Oreochromis niloticus: one gene and its partner. The protein of the gene in region 2 purifies or fractionates together with the protein of the main gene of each other region. This does not show direct contact. Links are inferred from orthologs where the notes say so. Each region holds a gene or a part of one and is shown on either strand. Other genes may lie near its edges.

Region 1 (7,262 bases), on a different chromosome or scaffold from region 2:
CTTTTTCTTTGAATTAAGAAAAACTTTGTTGTATAATTACGGGACAGTCCAGGCGATGAGCTACCAGATGTTTCGGTAATTTTGCACATTTACTAATTATAATTTAAGCACAACTGGTTGGATTTACAGACTTCTTTCATTTAAAATAACAGCATTTCTTTATCGTGTGGACAAACTGACACAAACGGTTAAATGTGTAAGCTCCTTTAAATTAAGAGAAAGGGCAGCGTCACTCGTCCGTCTCACTCGAGGTTTAAATGAGCTGTATAGAATGACTGTGACCCTGTAACTTTGTAGCCCTGTAGAGCCTGAACCATGAAATAGCTGCTAGAAAATGAAGCATTTATGGATCCTTGTGTCAAATTAAAAGTAATATGAATTTTAAATTGTATCATACGTCCAGCATTTTTTTTAAAGTTTTGCTTAAAAGTATATTGTGCAGTTGATTTCGTTTTCTTGATAATGTAGAAGCTGAAGACTAAAGATACCGTTACTAACAAAAATATGAGCCAAACAACTTTGTACATATATTAAGAGTCTTTATTTAATTCTTCACTCACTCACATCCACACAGGCTTGTCTACAGGACAATACAAAAATAAAATATGGAAACGTGAATTGTTCAGCGTCTCATGTGTCTCAGTGTGTCATCATCAATAGCTTTCAGGATCTGCAGCTTCGATCCTGCATGATCAGTTTGGACTTCCAGTTTCATCTTAAATGAGCCAGCGAGACTTTATCCAACATATTCATTTTGGCAAAGGAAGTCCATGAAACTGTTTGTCCATACATTGGTATGTAATATAAATATGCTAGCTCACATCTCTACTAACTCCTTCACATTTTATTTAAAGCCTCCAAAGAACCTGGAGAATAATGAGTCATCATCCCGCAAGTCTGAGAAGTGGTGGGGATCACCTGGAAGAAAACCAAAAATAAATACTTTTTTTTTTGTGTGTGTGTGAATAAACAATTCAAAGAACACACACCCGAGACAAGCTGACCTGGCAGCACAGGTCCATTCGCATGATCTGGTCCCTCAGAAATCCCAGAACCTCTCGAGCGAGTCACCGTGGTCTCCTCGTTGCCTTGGCCGTCTCTTACCGTACGCCTCTCCTCTACACTCTGACACACGCAAACGAAATGCTCATCAAAACTGAGACAAAACTATTAAAAGAATCACTATGAATGTATTAATACAGAATTAAGAAACACTCACCCCATCAGGCTTCACCACCTTAGTGACAGTGACAGACTGAAAGAAAGACCGTGTTCTGGGCTGGTTTGGTGCCTGACCAGCAGGTGGTGTCAAAATCTGATCCAAGCCACCAGAGGACACAGCCGAGTCCAGATCTTGGGAGGATCAGAATGGGAATAGAAAATAAATTTGACACAATCTAAAAGAGCTTCCACTAAATTATCAAATAAAATGTAAATATCACCACCCACCTCTGTCACCTTTGTGCTCCTCCTCTGGAGTTTTGTGTCTCCAAATATCATTAAACTTTTAAACACACAATACAAAAATCTCAGTGAATATACAATAGCTTGTGTCGCAACAGAAACAAAGAGGGAGGAGTGAATATCTCCTTTACCCTGGAAAAAGGGGTCCGGCCATGAAATTCAGGTGACTCGTAAGAAGGTCGGTGATCACCTCGGGGCTCTCTGGATCGTTGTTGTGTGTCACTGTCAGGATATTTGAGCATAAAGTCTCTCAGAGGGTTTCCACTGGAGCTTGCTTGCCCTCTCTCTGCTCTGTCCTGAGACGGTGGTGGTGGCATGATGTGGGGAACATCTAAAACACAAAGAGGGCAAAAGAGCAAACAGGTTAAACACAGAGCAGAGGAACATGTCGAGTTGTGGTTAGAATTTGAGTCTTCATGGGCATGGATGTCATGATTAATTTTGCGCTTTTAATTATTTCTTTTTCCAGGGTGAAAGAATTGTACACCATACATCTTTACTGACACTTTTTTACTTGTTTTTTTGGGGTTTTTTTACATTTCATTAAAAACAAGCGACATGAAAACATGTGGGTCTGTTTTCATACCAAAGTGTCCAGCCTCTGGATGTCCCTCCCAACGACCCAGCTGGGAGAATATCTCCTCCATCTCCCTGAGGACGTGGCCAAACATCGGGGGGTCCTGAATCCGCATCCCGTCCGGGCCAAAACTGAAGCCAAACCTCCAGGCGCTGTCAAAGGGGTCCTGCTGCTCCCCACTGAACCCATCATAGTGGAATCCATCTTCATCATCTTCATCGTCATCATCGTCATGAGTCATGGCATCGAAGAAAGGGTCCCTGACAGACGAAGTAACACAAATGTACAAGCTTTGAAATCTCCCTTTGGTTTAGAAACTGCGTTATAACATGCCGCCAGCAAACAGACCTCAAAGTACTCAATCGTATTAACTCCGTGAGCATAAATAACACCTAAATAAATCTAGCTGAAGGACCCCTGTGGTTTTCCTGGCAGAAAATACTAATCTTGTCCCTGACATAGCTGCACGCAACAGAAAGTGTACTAAGTTCAGCTAGCTTAGCCGAGTGTACAGCTGCGTACTTCGACGCCATAAACTCACCTCCGGCCACGATAATGGCCTCCGGGTACCCCGAAGAACCCGCGGAATAAATCAAAAACACTCATTTAACTGCAGCTTTGGTGGACACTTAAACCATAACTTAAAATGTGCAAGCAGCGGACATCCACTGGAGAAACTCGCCAAGATGTACTACAGCTGTCAACAGTGTCGTAAAGCGTTCTAGACGATTCATCATGACGCAATCTGTCGTAATGTTATTTTACCGTAAATAATAGATAAAATGGGCACTCGAAATAAAAGCGCACTGTTGAGATTCAGGTAACAGACGGCGGGTCTATGCCCGGGGCTGGCAAGATGGCTGTGTCTACATCGGCTCACTTCTCACCTTGCTTGTCATGTGCTTCATGGTGTTGTGATGTCAAGATGTATGTGCTCTCTGTGCAGAGGAGTTTTTTTTGTTTTCTGTTCTCATGCTGACCTCCCACAAGGAACCCAGTATGAGGTCTCTTTTTTTCATTCCTCCATTTGCCCATTGTATTGTACATTTCAGTGTTCTTCCAATTACTACCTGTCTCCGACCTGTCTTATGTATGTATGGTCGGGGGGGGGTCCAATTTCACTGCAGGTGAAAACTTGCATGTGACAAATAAAGGTTTGATTGATTGATTGATTGATTGGCAGTATGGTCAACCACCTTGAACCTTGAAGGGTACACCAGAATTAGACTACAGTTTGCACGGAGTCGACAAAAATTGGACAACAGAAGATTGAATAAAAGTTGCCTTTCTAATAAGTCTCCATTTCAACTGTGATATTTGGATGGTAGGGTGAGAATTTGGTATTAACAAAAAGCTTGGCACCATTTTGTATCGGTGGTTGGCACACTTTGGTCTCCTTAGTACAATTTAAACTCCACAGCCTTTTTGAGTATTGTTGCTGACAACTTCTGATTGCTGCTTCCAACAGGATAACAGGCCAAGTCACACAGATCAAGCACCTTAAACTGGCTTCTTGAACATGACAATGAGTTTTTAAATCAGCCTCCACGGTCGCCAGATCTCAATCCGATGGAGCACCTTTGGGATGGAGTGGAAGATTCACATCATGGATGTGCAGCTGACATATCTTCTGCAGCTGTGTGATGCTATCACGTCAACGGGGACCAAAATCTCTGAGGAATGTTTCCAGTGCCATGAAAAAATTTAAGCAGTTATGAAGAGGAAAAAAAAAAAAAAAGTACAATCTGCTGCTAGCAAGGCGTAACTGGTAAGTGTATGGCTCATATATATCTCATGAAATGAGAGTATAGTACAGTTATGCCAAATAGGATCAGAGCTCATTTAGAGAGAACATCTACAGCTTTTAGTATTTTTTTATTCTGATGCTCCAAATACAGAAGCTTTGCATGATTCAGAGTTTAAGAAATCCAATTTCTGCTACGTCTCACTTCATCCACTACCTGAAATGACCCTTTTCAAGCCCACTCATTGAGAGCCCAATGTCTTCTGATTGGCTGCAACTCACTTGGCTTCTAAAAACAGAACCTAGTGCTTGCAAGGTGTAATCACATATAGAAAAAAAAAAAAAAAAAAAAAAATCATACTAAGCTGACATGAGCTTGGCACAAGAAACCTAATAGAGACCAAGTGTTTAGAGCAGTCTGAAGCCTCAGCCAGTAAAATCAAATTTAGCTGCGTTTAATACAGTAAAAGACCTCAATCCAACACAGCACCTTTGGGAAGCATTTACTGGCATTTAAAAGTACAGTTCTGTCTCTCATTTGCCTACTAGAAAGGTGCCAAGATGCATATCTAGGGGGGTAGAAAATATATCATGGAGAAACATAAAATGCTAACGTGTATCCAAGACAGATGGAGGTTAAAATGTACAAAAACAAAATAAAGAACCAATACCAACCAATACCGTACATTACATGGCCAGAAAATGTGTGATGTAGTTATAAGTTTGGAGTTTCATTTGGTACTCGACATCCTGGAGTTTATTATGACTCAGCCCACAAACAGAAACCAACTGGAAAGCCTCCAGAGGTTTTAGTTCTACCCAACATGTCATCCACGAACTGTATCATGTATGTTCAAGTATTTAAAAGCCACATGAGAAACGTAGTTTCTTAAAAAGACATTCACATCCAAAATGATGAAAATGTCTTTTTCTTGTTTATTTACTTAATATTTATATATTTTTACAAAATAAAAAAAACAAAAACAAAAAAGCTAACAAGTCTGCAAGGATTTAAGAAGGAAAAGAAGAAAGCCATCGAACAAACAGGGACTACAGTACTTGTGTTTTTTTTTTATATATGTACAAGACAAGTTTATCCATTTAAACTTTTTTTTTTTAAAACGCACAGTACAAAAAGAAAAAAAAAAATCACTGACAAAAAAAAAAAAAAAAAAAAAAAAGAAAAAAGAAAAGAAAAAACCCATAGTACAATTCTGTCCATCAGTATTCAATGCCGCAGATTTCCTTACAATGTTGGGGGGACAGGTGGCGGGGCAGGGAGGGCCTCAGAAACAAAGTTATTCACACTGGAAGGCAGACTGGGTGTGTATTGGCCTTGGAAATCATTCTCATCTTTCAAAATAAGAGGGGCCTTATGAAATATTTATAATTAATGGGAAAAGTTACTGTACAAGTGTTGGATAATGAAAAAACAAAAATAAATCCTGTGCTAGGCAAAAAAACCAAAAACAAAACAAAAACCCAAGCACAGTACGCAACCATGGCCCCCCCGTGTGTACAAACATGCACGCAGTCACATGACAAACACACTTTTTCCTCACAGTCAAAGCCAGTGAGCTTGCTTATATGTCTTTATATATAATATATCTATATTCGGTAAAAAATAAACTTCACAACTCTACCAATTTATAGAATTGTTTCTGCAAACTTAAAATGACATTAAAAAAAAAAAAACCCCAAAACAAAACAAAAAAACCCCCAAAACATGAAAAGTCAACGGCAAATTATTGTGTTTGGAAATGGTTCAGGAGGGAAGAATTTCCATCAAAATTAAGGAACGGGGGAGTTGAGGGTCTGAAATACAAAACCAGCCTGCCCCCACCCCCTTTTAGAGATTACTTCATTCCTCCCCTTCAGTGGGAAAAAAAGTGGGAAAAGACAAAAAAAAAAAAAAAAAAAAGACCATACAGGAAACGTTCATTTAGAAAAACAGTTCTATGTTACAAGTGAAAGAAAAAAAATGGGGGGGCAAGGGGCGGGAAGATTAATACGATACAAATTCCCAACACTTAGTATTTCACCCTCTTGATGGTTTGCTTCTATCACCATTTATCTCCAATCTCCCCTCACTTTTAAAGCCCCTCCTGTCCCTCCCACCCATCCATCCATGCATCATTAACAGTGCTCGTTCTCTCGGCACAGCACCTCCTCTGACCGCGGTCAGAGCTGTGGGAGTGCTGGGCCAAGAGACTGGAGGGAAATCTCTGCAGGAGGAAGCGGGGATTTATATGTGGAGACTTATTTGCCGAAGGAGTGAAGAGCCTCCCACCCCTCCCAGCTTTTTGACACTGCGGGGGGTGGGGTCCCGTGAGTGGATGTTAGTTTGCCCCCCAGCTGTAGCTGTTGTACGCCGACTTGTTGATCTGAGACTTCTGTTGGATGGAGGCGTTCTGGCTGCGCTGTCCAGTGCCGCTCTGTGGAGGAGAGTCACAAAGTTCATCAGTGAGCTGCCGCTTCGTGCCATGTGTTTACCTAAAAGCAGCACAGCTAATGTCACGGTGAAACCACAAACACTTAATGAACTTGCCAACAAATCTTTTAAAGGCAATTCACTAGATTTGTATTACTACTTATAACAGTCTGACTGCACGATGCTCGAGTGCTACTTCATTTATTTTGAACGTGCTTTATCAAAAAGACTGGAAGTTGTCGACTAGTTAACAGCCTGAATATAAAAGATGGAGCTACAGTGATGTCGCCCACTCATTTTTCAGCGTTGACCATAAATTTTTGTCGCCGTTTAGACACTGGTGACTGAGACAGTGAAGGATGCCGTTTTTCAACCTTAAAGCCGACCCGATCTCAGGCTCTAAAGCTGTCGCTACATTGGTCACCGCTCGGGGAACTGGTGTCGACACACTTCCATCATTTACTTTCAAGTCTATGCATTTTTGAGCTCATTCAGACTGTTGATCATTACTATTTGACTCACTGGGTGGAGTTTCCTTGTCAACGAATAATGCCTTTGCTCCGCTTGTTTCTAAAAATCGCATGACCTCAAATATGTAAGCATTTATATATACACTGCACCTGTCCGTCTTGCTGCAGGTGGTGGTGCAGAATCTGAGAGTGGGGTTGTTGGTGTGGTGTCAGGATATGCATGAATGGAGCTGGAGCGTAGCCGGCAGCGGCAGGAGGGTTGATGGGGCCCCCGCTGCCCAGCGCAGAGGGCAGGCTGAATGATGCAGCTGGCGTCCCGGCGTGGAAGCCCTGCTTCTCAAACGACTGCAGGGGACCAGGAAGAAAAATAATCAGTTTGGCCACTATAACGTTTTTTTGTTTGTTTGTTTGCTGCTACAAGACAAGCAAAAGCATATCCTGTGAGTAAATATTTCTGTTCTATTCTGTAGTTACCTGCGTCTTTGTGTAAACAGACCCTGAAATATCTGGTACTCCCGTGTTGCTTGATGTCACAGAGACTCCTGCAGAGAGGGGGAAACGACACAAACTGAGCTC
Region 2 (7,315 bases):
CCCTGAGTTACTATGTTGTTATCAGGCCGTGTGAGGCAAGGGAGAAACATCTTTGCCACTCACGCCTGCATCTCTGAGCTGGAAATCTTTTGGGTCGTGGTCTCCAGGAGTTATTAGCCTGACATAAGCGGGTTATTGCTGGGTATGGATAGTAGCCCTCAGGACAGTGGTATACCAACATGCTGCCTCTCTCCAGGTTGTTGCTCAGTGTGTAATTCCCTCCTTGCATTTGCAAATTACTCTCAGGGCAAGCACATCGAACACCAGCTCCTGAAAAAAAATGTCCACAGTTCTCAGAGGCCACAATTTAAGTTTATCATACACTTACATACGTACCATTACACAATTACTAAAGTAGTGTAAAATTCATGATTTGCCTTTTTTTGAAGTACACAGTATGCAATGGATTCTTTTACTAAAATCACCAGGTTAGTGATTAAGGGTTTATACATTGTTTTACTTACCTTTGTGAAGCATTATTTGTATTACAAGAATTTAAATTGTTATGTTTTAAATGCAAAAAGTCTGATATTTTATATTTAAGACAACATTATTTCTTTGAGCCTGCACTAATTTCCATAAATAGATGATGAACAAAATTTAGTACAGACTTACATTTTCTGAAAAATTCACTATAATGTTCACATTTGATGATGTTGCTAAGTCTCTAAAAACCTGATGGATAGAAGGACGTTTGTCAAATATTCAGAATATATTCAGAATGTACAATATAAAGCGCCTTGAGGCGACTTTTGTTGTGATTTGGCGCTATATAAATAAATATAAATAAAATTGAATTGAATTGAATTGAAGTTATATATTAGTTAATAAATATTTATTTGAACATTGATCAGTTTTTACACCTATAAGGTGCATAAACCTAAGTAAACAACAAACGCATTACTAGAAATTCAAAATTGTATATAACTTTTTATCTAAAATAAAAGTATCTTACCCATCCAAAATGCACATAAAAGCGCTGCAAGCCAACTCCAGTGGATAGAAAATCCCATCTTGAAGCTTAAACTGGGGGACAGTTTAAAAATGAGAGTATATTGCAGAAGTGGTTGATTTATTTCAGAGTAGAGAGTGATGTTTAAACTGGGAGTGGACAAAGACCATCCTGGTACTTATTAACTTTATGACCTGTAAAAGAGGATCAATACATGTTTATCACAGAAAACACTCAAACAATTTCCACATTTACATAAATCCTTCTCAACTGATAACTTATTTAGAATTACACAAAGATCTCTTATCTAATTTATCACTTACAATGTGAGCTGGGACGCTATTTACAGTAGTTATTATTTGGAAACTGCTTTATATTTATTACGTGCTGATGCTAACAACATGAAAAAATTGAGGTCAAAAACAGGGAGCCTTTGGGTTTAATTCTCAATTAAATACATAAATAAATAAAACCACTAGTAGAACATTTACCAAACTGATCAGGTTCATTAGTAAAAAGATTTGCTGTACAAAGAGTCTATGCATCTTTCAGCAATAAGGATGAAGATCACTTCATCACTTTGCGAAAGACTACGTGGAAAACTGACAAATTCAGAGTACACAAGGCACGAGGCCAAGAACTGATCCCGAATGGCCCCAATCTCTGGATCTCCAGCTGGTCCTCTATTAAAGACACACTCGACACTCTACTAGGAATATTTTGCAGTCTTTTTTCTTGATACCTTTTTTTCAGGGAAGACTTTACTCATGTTATGAAAAAGATGCCAAACTATGTGATGTTGTGTTATAACACCTGATTGGTGCAGTGTGAGGTGACAAACAGAAAGCAGCTGAGCAGCTGAGCAGCTGTATTAAGCAATTATCTTTCACTTAAAACAAAAGGTGAAGCAAAACGGTAACAAAAGTGCTCATGACTCAGATTTTTTGATTTTTTGATGTACTGTTTTCATTTATTCAATTGTTTATATATGAAATAGTTAAATGCATCAACTACAAATGTGGGTTGCATGGTTTGTGTTGTGTGTCCTGACCTTAACTAAGTTTTTTTTGGATCCAGGATTTCCCGTTATGTGTACACACGCTGTCACATGTTCCACGAAAAACAAAGTCATTGTGAAACCAAGACAAAGTACAAACATTCGCTTCATCATTTCCCAAAAGCACCAGGCTAGCTTGTTGACACATTGATTCAAGTATTGATTAAACACTCCATCGTGCCTCAAGCTCTCTCTGGCTTTGAGTTTGTTTTCTGAAAAACAGTTAAGAGATTATGTTTTGAAAATGTGATTTTTTGTCTTCTTTTTAATTTACATGCCACACAGACTAACTGGGTAATTTTACAGTGTGAATACTGGACACATCAGTTTCTCCAGGGAATAAACCCTGTGGCACTATTATTTTCCCTTTAGTGACCTGAATTGGAAAAGCCTCAGTTCTGTGAGGGCCTTCTGAAATGACAGTATCTGCTGGAGCTTCCAGCTGAAGCTTCACACTTTCAGACACCTAAAAGTGGTTTAAATAAAAGCTTTGTAACATCCATTAACTAGAAAATGTTTTCTTACATGGGAAGAAAGGCCACTTTTTGAACATTCATTTGCATGAAACTCACAGCTGCATTGCAATTCCCTTATTTTTGACCCACGTGTATTGTAGCAGTTTTTGTTGCTAAAATTGGGTCTTGTGGATTCCACATGCAGCTAGCATGTTATTGTAAATGTCATAATCTGTATTTCTTATGTAGTTTTTTACACTGCACAATGAGTCACATTAGATTATTAACATATAATTACATTAACTGAGTGTATAAATGTTGGTAAATAGAAGGGAATAGATATTAGGACATCATTTTTAATGTCAGGGTAGTGGTAGAGCTTGGTGTCGTTCTTTCTGTGTTGGTGCTGACCTGAGTTAGGGCGACTCTAAATGAGGATGGATGGATGGGTGGGTTTTTGTTTGTTTCTTGTGTTATTGTTTATTTTCTATCTTTTATTACACTTCTTAAAATAGCAAAGTGGCAATTATTACTGTGAAACACCTGCATCAGTAATTTCAAAGAAAGATTTAAAATGTTTTTCAGCTCATTACAAACTCAATTCAAAAAGAATTGTGAAGCTGTCCAAAGCGCTGAAGACAGAATGCAATGACTGGCATATCTCATAAACCCATATCTTAATTACAATTGAAAATAAAAAAACATGCCACATGTTTAACTTTATAGGCTCCAACCCCGTGAGACCCTAATAAGGATAAACGGAAGAGAATGGATGGATGTTTAACCCTTTCACGCCTAGTAAATAAATAATAAATAAATAAAATTTTATTTATATAGCACCTTTCCTGACAGAATCACAAAGTGCTGCACATAAGATAACAAATAATAAAAGGGTAAAACAGACAGTATAAAACAGGCAGAAGTAAAGTCCAAAAAAGGTGAGTTTTGAGTTGTTGTTTTTTTAAAAACAACTACCGAGTCCATAGGTCTCAATGTATGAGGGCAAGAGTTCCACAGTCTAGGGGCCACAGTGGCAAAAGCTCTGTCACCCTTAGTTCTCATCTTAGTCTGTTTTATAGCAAGTAAACCCTGATCAGATGACCCCAGGGACCTGCTAGGGACATATGGCTGTAGCAGATCGGAGATGTAGGGTGGTGCCAGTCCATGCAAGGCTCTAAATGTCAAGACCAGGATCTTAAAATGTACTCTAAATTCAACAGGAAGCCAGTGTAGCTGAAATAGCAATAGTGTCACATGTGAATACTTGGAGGATTTTGTCAACAACCAAGCTGCAGCATTTTGCACAACCTGCAGACGATCCAGAGAACCTTTGCTTAGACACATAAACAAAGAGTTACAATAGTCCAAGCGTTAGGAAATAAATGCATGTATAGCTATCTCCAGTTCAGGGCGAGATAAAATAGGGCTGTGTATCGTATTTAATACATGCAGTTGTTTGTGAGTTTTTGAGACTTCTACATCATCAGTGTGACTTTTTTCCCATTTTAAAGCATAAATAAATTTTGCAATACTTTTTTAAGCAATTTTTTTTTTTTTTTTAAAGGCCAGATGTAGTGAATATGATGCAAATTACAACTATTATAAGGGGAAAAATATGTAAATAACTTTATAAACAAATTTGTCAGGTGTTTCAATAAACTCTCCATTTAAAAAAATAGAATTTTGTGGCAATTATTCAGGCTTTAAACAATGTTGAATAATGAATTGTAAATCTGGCATGTTTAATCCGAATAAGACTTGGATAATAATGAACAGTAGGTGGCAGCTGACCGGCTAAACTCAAAGAAGAAGAAGAAGGGAGGCGTAGAAGAAGACAAGGCGGAAATGACGTCCAAGCGGAAGTTATCGCCAATGAGACAACAACGCGCCAAATTTGTGAAAAATCTTCAGAAGTCAGTGCAGCAGGATGAAGACGTGCGTCTGAGCTTTAAGGATAGCTACATGTGGCAGTCGCTGCTGTGTGAAAAGGCTGAGCAGGTAGGTTATTTTCTCATATTTTCGTATTTTATTTTTCTTAGCGGTTTTCTTTTGAGCATCATGACATTCGACAGCACTCTGTCAAAGTGCTGTCAAAGTTAAGTTTTGTAAGCTGGTAAATGCTTAACAGACACTTGTTAGAAGAAATAGGACCCTTGTTATGAAAATAATGTATACATAAGTAAATATTAGAAAGCGAAAGTGATGAATGCGTGTGTTTCTGTTTCTAGCATGGCGGTGCCTTTTGTGCAGGACTGGGACGTTGTTCAGACTCTGGGAGAAGGAGCCTACGGAGAGTATGAAAGCTTCCTTATCATTGTTTATCATTAGCTTATCGCCTTTAATAGCTGTCCTTTTCCAGCCATTGCACAAGGATTTTTTTCCCCCTTGTTTCATGGGATCATGACAGGCATGTATATGCACTAGAAATGTTCATCTGAAAATCCAAAAACATCACTCACAGGAGACACCTGACTCCATCACAGTCACAGTTAGCCTTGAAAAAAAAAGAAGATGAACCAGGTATCAAAATGTAGGTAAAAATGAGACCTTACATATGCTAAAACATGTTTAATGTTATGAGACTTTAAAGTTTAACCATTTTTACCACAACAATTCCATGGTTTTTGCCATGGAATTGTTAGAAAACAAATCAAACACTCAGGGTAGCAATGACTGCTTCTATCATTCTTAAATTATGGCGTTATGCCACCATTAAATGAGGTGTCCAGAGATACCAATGCTCAAAGTTGGTTATAGAAGAAAACTACCGCACAAAAAGAACCTTTTAACTTTAGATTGACTCTTTAAGTGGGTTTAAAAAGATCTTAAATATCTTTGTTTGGTTTTTTTGTTTTTCTTGTTTTCTAGAGGTCAAAGTCAAGTTTATTTATATAGCACATTTCCAACAGTGCATGCTGCACAAAGTACTTAACAATCTAAAATGCAACTAAAATAAATAAAATGCACAACAATGATGCAGTAAAATATAGAAGGGGAAAAAAAAATATAAAATAAAAACAACGAAAACAGACGGAATTTGACACCTGACGTTCTGATTTTATTGAATAGTTTAACAAAGTTTAAAGTACTTGAAAATTATCTCTAGAAACACTGTAGGAAGATTTTAGCTCTTTGTGCATCCTGATAACTTCCACTCAGACTTCCTCTCACTTCTCTTCACCTCCGTGCTCTTTTCTCTTTATGATCTAACCGGTTTGTCCTCTTTGTGTTCTTGGTCTCAGAGTGAGGCTGTTGGTGAACAGACAGACTGAAGAGGCGGTAGCAGTGAAGGTCATCGATACCTCGCAGGCAAAAGAGTGTGCTGAAAATGTCAAGAAGGAGGTCTGCATCCACAAGGTACATCCATCACCTTCACCTGCACAGTTAGTATTATTGAAAGCAGCGGCTCACCAGTGGTGTGTTGTGAAACAAGTCAAGCTGTTCTTAAATCCATATGTTAATACAGTAAACAGCTGCATGAAATAAATTGTTAATTAACTGAATCACAGCTTTGTATGCTCTCATTTCCCTTTTCCTTGCATCAGTAAAAAAAAAACACAGCCTGTTCATGCCAGTCCCAGACTGTGAGAATTAGATAAAAACTGTTACTGTTGTGAAAACCAACTCTAGCCTCAGCTGATCTGGGGACGTTGGTAGCCCTCAGCTCGAGGGTGTCATTTGTTGGGAAAAGCTACTGCTATTCCAGGCAAGCTGAAAGCAAACATGCAGATAAGAATACAGATGTACAGATGTGTCTGCTTGTTTCGGCTCACCTAAAATGATGTGACATGATGACAAAAGATCCAAAAACCAGCTGAACAGACACCGAAGAGGCAAACTGAAAGCAAACATGTATGAAGTCGTACTTCATACTGGCTAAAATATAAAGAACTGGCATTTGTTATTAATGTTGGTTAGATTCGTAAAGATAAACTGGCTGAGACTGACCAGTTTGTTGCTCTAGTTTACAGATACAAACTGATTGTAAGCAATTTAACAGACACTGAAGTTGTTTTTATTTTTTTTATTGTTTTAGATTTGTTGAATTAATTAAAAACGTTAAGCTCTTAGCTAAGTAGAGTGATAGCTGAGAGCACTGTTTTGAGGATCTTTGTGTGTGCACTTAACTCATAGATGCTCAAACACACCAACATTGTACGCTTCTTTGGCCATCGGAAGGAAGGACCCACTGTGTACCTCTTCCTGGAGTACTGCACCGGGGGAGAGCTGTTTGACCGAATCGGTGAGCTGCAGACACACATTTGACGAGGAAACTGTCATACAAGAAAAACCTTTTGTTTGCTGATTTATTCTTCCAGCTGTAACTTTCCTGACTCAGATATGATTAGCATGAATACATGAATTCAGCTTAGCTGAAATGCGTCTGGAGTCTTCAGTAATCATTCTTTGCAAATATTTGATTTCGGTCTTACTCTCTTTCTTCTTTTACGCTCTCTTTAGAGCCCGATGTAGGGATGGCTGAAAAGGATGCTCATAGATTTTTCCAGCAGCTAATAGCGGCTGTGGTGAGTGAAGAACATCTTTGTGTTGATGTGACTTCCTGCGTATTTTCCTGCTGTTATTCTCTTTTTAAGTTTTTTTTTTTTTTTTTTTTTTTAACCTTTTCTAGGAGTACCTCCATGATTTTGGCATCACACATAGGGACATAAAGCCAGAGAACATTTTGCTGGATGACAAAGGTGAGGAAATGCAATCTTTATCAAAGGATTCTCTTTTTAGGATTCTCTTTTATTCCTTATAACCACCGCCCTCTGGGGTTGACTTTTTTTTTTCTTTTCTTTTCTTTTTTTTCACCTTCAGATAACCTGAAGCTGACAGATTTTGGCCTGG

Evidence for each region.
Region 1: the proteins of chek1 (region 2) and hax1 purify together in Homo sapiens (affinity purification with mass spectrometry; 3 studies listed by BioGRID and IntAct, with this or other methods). This does not show direct contact. The link is inferred for Oreochromis niloticus from reciprocal best matches to the Homo sapiens genes CHEK1 and HAX1.

The regions. Positions count from the first base shown.
Region 1 is NC_031985.2:17,528,555-17,535,816, reverse strand, and holds hax1 (HCLS1-associated protein X-1), read right to left. Parts: upstream 2,794-7,262; 5' UTR 2,648-2,793; coding exon 2,583-2,647; intron 2,302-2,582; coding exon 2,051-2,301; intron 1,796-2,050; coding exon 1,596-1,795; coding exon of another isoform or gene 1,577-1,595; intron 1,505-1,576; coding exon 1,450-1,504; intron 1,354-1,449; coding exon 1,220-1,353; intron 1,126-1,219; coding exon 990-1,125; intron 919-989; coding exon 845-918; 3' UTR 523-844; downstream 1-522. Other genes in the region: ubap2l (ubiquitin-associated protein 2-like), read right to left, coding at 6,125-6,220, 6,837-7,031, 7,161-7,228. UniProt on the Homo sapiens protein: Recruits the Arp2/3 complex to the cell cortex and regulates reorganization of the cortical actin cytoskeleton via its interaction with KCNC3 and the Arp2/3 complex. Slows down the rate of inactivation of KCNC3 channels. Promotes GNA13-mediated cell migration.
Region 2 is NC_031975.2:13,694,237-13,701,551, forward strand, and holds the start of chek1 (serine/threonine-protein kinase Chk1), read left to right. Parts: upstream 1-4,300; 5' UTR 4,301-4,462; intron 4,463-4,692; 5' UTR 4,693-4,693; coding exon 4,694-4,758; intron 4,759-5,706; coding exon 5,707-5,821; intron 5,822-6,598; coding exon 6,599-6,707; intron 6,708-6,925; coding exon 6,926-6,990; intron 6,991-7,094; coding exon 7,095-7,164; intron 7,165-7,285; coding exon 7,286-7,315. Other genes in the region: complement factor B, read right to left, coding at 64-270, 956-1,013. UniProt on the Homo sapiens protein: Serine/threonine-protein kinase which is required for checkpoint-mediated cell cycle arrest and activation of DNA repair in response to the presence of DNA damage or unreplicated DNA.